Regions from separate parts of the Mus musculus genome. Here region 1 is reported to be linked to region 2. The links are microRNA targets in miRTarBase. Many come from high-throughput screens and were not tested one by one. Region 2 holds a microRNA gene; the other region holds the end of a gene's coding sequence. Distances are from middle to middle.
The links. The annotated mature microRNA mmu-miR-695 reads AGAUUGGGCAUAGGUGACUGAA and lies in region 2 at 2,011-2,032, opposite strand. An mRNA with a match to its seed (bases 2 to 7 or 8) in the 3' UTR can be bound and repressed. Matches are read on the target gene's strand: a 7mer-m8 pairs with bases 2 to 8, a 7mer-A1 pairs with bases 2 to 7 and ends in A, and an 8mer does both.

Region 1 (3,228 bases), 25 Mb from region 2:
ATATATCTGAAAAGCTAAGGGAGGCCTAGACTGCACTGTTTGGAACCATGTGTCAAAGAGCAAGGCCCTCAAGGCCCTCTGTGAGAATTTGAGTTTCTTGGTTGTAGAATATAAGAGCCTCTAATTAGGTAAGGGCAGCCTGTCTGTGGTCCTGTTTCACTGTGTCTCCCCATCCCACAGCGGCAGGTCAAGGGGCAGGAGGTATATTTTGATTCAAGAAAAGGTGAAAAAGCCCTTTGTTGTTCTCACCCGCGGTGCCCCCTGGATATGGTCTTGGTTAACTCCTCCTCCCCTCTTAACTAGAATGGCCCAAGGTCTCTGCAGTGATGTCCCTGGCCAGTGATACATGGTCCAGGCTAGGCATCTTAGTCTCTATTCCCACCACAGACAACTTTGAAGTCCCTGCACTCTAGACATCTAGACTCATTAGGCCTGGGCTTCCTCTCTAACAGGAGCCATAGGATTTTCAGTTAAGTTGTATTTTCTCCAGTCCATGTGGTTTTCTCTTTACTAGCCTCTTAAAGTGCTCTGGGACTCAAACAGCCTGGCCTTGGTGCTGAGTAGTTATCCTGCTCCTAATAAAAACAGTCACTGTGTGTGTGTGTTTGTATGTGTGTGTGTGTGTGTGTGTGTGTGTGTGTGTGTGTGTGTGTGTGTGTATTACGGCCAGATGTCCCAAAGCAAGTGTCTATGTCTTTGTTATATTCAGGTAGAAAATGAAATTCAGAAAAACTTATCAAGGCTGGGAATGTAGCTCACTTGGTAGAGCGCTTGCCTAAGATGCAGGAAACCTTGAGTTTGATCACTGGTACCAAATAAAGTAGGCACGGGAGCACATCGGTGTAACTCTAGCCCTTGGGAGGTAGGGGCAGGAGGGTCAAAAGTCAAGGTCATCCTCAGCTACACAGAGAATTTGGGGACAGTCTGAACTACGTGTGTGTGTGTGTGTGTGTGTGTGTGTGTGTGAGAGAGAGAGAGAGAGAGAGAGAGAGAGAGAGAGAGATTGAGAGAAGCAGATAGCAGATGAGGAATAGATCATTAATGGAGTAACATCCCTATGTCTGGCCTTGACACACAGCCGCACTGCAGGGGGAACTACAAAATGAAGCACTGGTTTGGGGTTTTAGGCACTGAAGCTATCTACCAGTATGAAGATGTCTACCAGGAACACAGAGTTCAAAACTCTGTCAGGCTTTGGCCAAAATGAACCATGGCTCAAGGTGCACGAGTGTTTAGAGGGCTTCAGAAGCAATGATTTTCAGGTTAGATTTAAACCAGATAAAGAGCTGGGAAGCAGCAGGGATTGGGTAGAGGTCAGCAGTGGATGAGGACTGAAGTCTGGGCCCCAGCTGGGGGCAGATCGGCTAACATGTCTGTCACTTGACTTGGTAACTGATACTCACAGCTTTGTTTGGAAGGCTCAGCGCTAGGTAAATGGCCAAACGCCAGGGGAGCCTGGGTGGTCCAAAGCCCTCTGGTGGAAGCAGCCTGCTTAATCAATCCTGCAAATCTCTGCGCTTTCCTTTTTCCATGAGCACAGCATTGCACAAGTTCCCTGGCACCAGGCTCCAGCCTCGAGCATTACACAGATCATACAGTCCAGTGTCTGCCTAGCTTGAGACACACACCTTGCACATCTCACCACACTGCCTATTCCGTGTCAACTGTTTTAGGGCTGGGATTCCATGAGTGACAGAGTTTCTGTAGAAGCCTAGAGAAATTTAATCTCTTAGCTTCTGAATCAAAAGGCCTTTTGAACTTATATGTTTTTAGAGCTCAAAACATCTTAACTGCTGTTTGGCCTTACCAAATACTTTTCATAAAATCAGGCATGGTGGCACAAGTTTTAATTCCAGTACCCTGGACATAGAGACAATAGGATCCGAAATTCAAAGTCACCTCAGCTAAATAGTTCAAAGCCATCCTGGGCTTCATGAGACCCTGTTTCAAAACAACAACAGCAGCAAAGTATTTTGCAAATAGATACTGACTTTTGATCATAACAAACCCATGAAAGCATTGGGGCTCACTTAACACCAAGGTTCAAAAGTAGTGAATCAGCCAAGATGTAGGAGGCTGAAACAGGACTTTGATTTTTTTTGTAACAGACCTGGAGATTCTTAAAAAAAAAATAAGAGTGTGTAGGGTGGAGTGTATGCTTATGCACAAAGCCTTGGGTCCACACACACACACACACACACACACACACACACACACTATCATGATTGGCCTCTTTCCCATTTCTGAGAGGTGAGTGAGGTGAGATCCCTAGCTATCGTCCTGGCAGTGAGACCCATTCCAGAGTGTGTGTTCCTCCTGGAAGTAGAAAGAGAGGATCCGGGACAAATCCAGACAAGTCCAGGGGTATGTAGGTGGAAATTCTCAGGAAGCCTGAAGCTGGTAGGGCTGAGGTGATGTGACTAAAAGATTCTGCCAGGAAGACCAAGTGATGTTACCACATCCATACGGGTGCTCTCAGTGGTTGGTCCAAGCTCTTGCTCCTGGCTAAACTGTCTGTCCTGTTCCTGACACCAATGTGGGTTTAAGGTAGATGCCCAGAAGCCAGACCCCCACTTGTATTTGTGATTGGGGGGGGGGGGGTCTGAGGTCTGTTGAAGTTCCACTGCCCCCCTCCCCACGGGGCTCAGGCCCTAGGCCAGGGCTCAACAGACACAAGCAGTAAGATGGGGTTGCCCTTCTATTGGTCCAAGTCCTGAGCGTAGCCTGGTTGAGTCATGGAGGTGAGCAGGCCCACGAGGCTCAGCAGTGTGGAAAAGAGCAGCAGGAAGGAGGCTGCGAAGAGCAGAGCAGGCAGGGCACTGAGCACAAGCAGCAGGATTGCTGGCAGCAGGTGGCTCCACATCACAGCCACCACGGGCCATAGCGAGCTCAGCAGGTAGGAGCCCGTGGTGAAGAGTGCGTGACATAGCATCAGTGCCAGCAGCAGGTAGAGTGTCCCCTCCAGACCCCACAGCATCCGCTGTAGTGGTTGCCGCCAGCCTGATGTATTCCACCACTGGGTCCAGCTCCGAGGTATGTGGCATACCCACCAGCGCACCCAGTCCTGACGGATGATCCAGGCTGACCAGGGCACTGCCCGCTGGGGCCCCTCGCCAGCCCCGATGATATCCGACTCCACTCGTGGCTGCTGCATCACGGCTGGTGCACCTGTGGACAGGGCCAGGCCAGCTGCAGGGGGCAGCCCTTAAGATGCCCAGGACCTCTGGA
Region 2 (3,228 bases):
TCCTTGGCCCACACTCAGTTTTTCGCTGATCCTCTTATCCTTTTGGTTGTGAGCCTAGCCTTTGAGGGCTGAGCCTTCTCTCCGGCTGTCTTTCCTGATTCTCATTTATATTTGTTGTTTCCTGACTCCGAGGCTGTCCCCTCTGCTTGGAAACCATGAGAAGGCATCCTGCCGTTCTCATCTAAAATGTCACCCTGTTCTGTCACCAGCATTCCTCCCTTCCCCATGGATATTCTCAATTATGCATTTTATTTTATTTTATTTTATTTTTCTAAAAATATAGTTTTTCCTTTTTAACTGGGGTACAGTATGATAACCCAATACAGTATACAAGTAATCATAGGGTAACTGACATATGACTTCAAACATTACTGTGCTAGGAAAAATCAAAAACCTCTACTCCCTATTTTGAAGTATTCAATACTTTTTGTTAACCATGGTCATACAATCGATGCACTGTTCCATTTTCTTCATGGATATAAAAATTTCTTGCATAATTAATTATTATAGCTAATTTTAAAGCACCCATGTAGCACTTTTCATACATAACGACTGTTGGCGCTTATCAACGGGCTCTGTTGGCGCTTATCAACGGGCTCTCCAAACCCCTGACTTGTTATGTTTGCTTATCTCTGAGCTGTACACACTCCCACCTGGAGGGATTTCAAGCTACCAACCTGAACTGAGAAAAGCAAAACTGCATCCTACACAGAATTTGCTGCAGTACATGTCCTGGTTATTATTCTCAACTTCACACAATCTAAGGTCATTTTGGAAGAGGAAACCTCAGTTGAAAAATTGCCTTCCATCAGATTGGTCTGTGAGAAATTGTCTTGATTTTGAAAAATTGATTGATGTGAGAGGGCCCAGTTCATTGTCGGAGGAGGAAGCATCCCTGGGCAGGTGTGCTGGTGTTGTGCATGAAAGCTGTTTGAGCATGAGCAGAAGAGAAAGTCTATAAAAGCAGGGTTCTTCCGCGGTTTTAGCCTCAAGCTCCTGCCTTGAGTTCCTGCTCTGACTCCCTCGGTTAAATAACTTGCTGAAGGTCGCAAAGCTAATAATTAACCACTCCAAAGTGTTTCCTCGCCACACAATATAGTGCCTTGAGGATGGTTGGCGCTCAGTAAATACGAGTGTCGCACTTTTTAAAAATATAAAGGTAAACATTTTAACATTAAAATATTCACACGAGTGAAATTATTTCTTTAAATTTTGCTCACGATCTCAGTAAAATAGGTACAATATTTCTTCACTTCTCTTGCTTGATCAGAGGCGTAGTCCAAACCTTTGCAAAAAGTTTGACACATCCCACTTTCCGTCGACTCGCCGCAGGGCTTTCTGGGAATGGTAGTCCTAAAGTCTGTGTGCTCCAGCAACAGCCACGGCACTCGTTCCACGGAGGTACTACAGTGTGGCGCGCAAGTCTTGAGGCTCTTCCGCATTGCCTGCGCGCCCGCCTCAGTTATCATGGCGGCTCCCTTGGCCCTGGTGCTTGTGGTGGCCGTGACCGTGAGGGCGGCCTTGTTTCGCTCCAGTTTGGCCGAGTTCATTTCCGAGAGGGTGGAGGTGGTGTCCCCACTGAGCTCTTGGAAGAGAGGTGAGGCCACTGACTAGAGTAGGGCGGTCGGCGCTCTGCCAGCCTGTGAATTGAATTGGAGGTGGAGGAGGTGGACACAAGCGCACGGTTCTGTGGAGACTGACCCGCGTCTGGGGGTTCTTTTCGAGCTGAGGGCGGAGCTTTGGTGTGGAGGATGGGGTGTGGAGGAGATGTGGAGTGTGAGCCCCACTACCCTAGGGATGGGTATCCGAGGGGGCGTGTCCCAGTATCCCGAGTCAGGCGGCGGGATCCGCGGAAGGATGGATATCCGAGGGTGATGTGTGCATTGGGACTTGTGAAGTGTTAGCTTTTGACAGTGAGATTGCTGGGGGTGTTCCACCGAGTAGCAGATAGCCGAGCCGGTGACCAGGACCAAGGTAACCAGTGCCTTTGTAAGAAAGGCAGCTGTGTACTTCAGTCACCTATGCCCAATCTAGGATTCCTCGTGAAGTTTTTCTTAGTTTGCTTTTTAAATATATGTATGTATGTGTGTGTGTGTGTGTGTGTGTGTGTGTATTAAACCCTATTGCATACTATCGCCTCCAAGAAGACAGAGATTGAGCTGAAGGAGCCACAGGACAGTAGAGGAGACGAACAAGTTTCTATAGTCACTTCCTTAGTGTCTGACCCTGAGTAAACTGCCTTCCCTTTTCCGGAATGAATGAATGAAGGACCAGGTTTGGGAAAAGATTAGAAAAAAGAGGACTTTAAGGTTGCAAAGGATCAAGAAATACCCGAGGTTGTGAAATATTCAGAGCAGAAAAAGATGTGGGTTAGGTTGGGGCTACAGTTTGATTTATTTATTTATTTATTTATTTATTTATTGTCATTATTACTTGTGTGTGTATGGGCGGGGGTTGTGTGTGCTTGTGGTGTGTGTTCAGAAGCCAAAGGAGGATGTCTGGTGTCTTTCTGTATTACTCTACCCTTTATTTCCTAAGATGGGGTCTACTTGAACTTGAAGCTATTTCAATTGGGCTGTATGCCCCCACCCCCGGGGGTTTCTGCCGGTCTCCACTCCTACAATCCTCCCAATGCTGGAGTTACAGGCATCTCAGGCAATGGTTATTTTGGGTCTTTTGACAGGGGTGCTGGGAATTTAGATTCAGATCTTCATGTTTGCACATTGAGTGCTCTTATCCCCTGAACCATCTGTCTAGATCAAGTTTAAGTCTTTAAACAAAACAGAACCTACATACATATATACATACATACATACATACATATATACACACATACATATATACACACATACATATATGCACACATACATATATACACACATACATACACATGGATAGCCAGCACCTAGCTCAAACACATCAGCATCCTAGAAGTCTGCTTTGTGTAGCCTTACACTTTGCTTATTATTTGATTTTGAAACGGGATCTTTTCTTTAGCCCAGCATGTACTCAGATTCATGGTGAACAGCCTTTCAAGGGCTGGGATTGTAGGTGTGAGTCACCACATCTAACTTTAGCCTCAAACTTTAATGCCTATGTTCTCATATCACTTGCTGTCATCAACTAATTTTTAAATATTAATTTATTTATTGTGTGTGGATGCTGGAGAACACTTGTGGGAGGTGGTTGTCTTTTATGGTGTGATTTCACTGGAGTAAGGTTTCTAAA

Region 1: miRTarBase lists Tmem239 as a target of mmu-miR-695. Seed matches in the 3' UTR shown: 8mer at 2,584-2,591 and 7mer-A1 at 2,223-2,229.

What each region holds. Positions count from the first base shown.
Region 1 is chr2:130,406,650-130,409,877 of GRCm38, reverse strand. Tmem239 (transmembrane 239) reads right to left here. Exons shown (of 2, transcript NM_025753.3): 2 at 2,084-3,168. The coding sequence starts at 3,154. The coding sequence ends at 2,699. Among named protein-coding and RNA genes, the nearest start is that of Tmem239, 1.7 kb to the right of the region's middle.
Region 2 is chr2:155,355,635-155,358,862 of GRCm38, reverse strand. It overlaps Mir695 (microRNA 695), which reads right to left and starts at 2,046; the gene lies at 1,938-2,046. It overlaps Pigu (phosphatidylinositol glycan anchor biosynthesis, class U), which reads left to right and starts at 1,439. Exons shown (of 12, transcript NM_001004721.1): 1 at 1,439-1,597. The coding sequence starts at 1,468.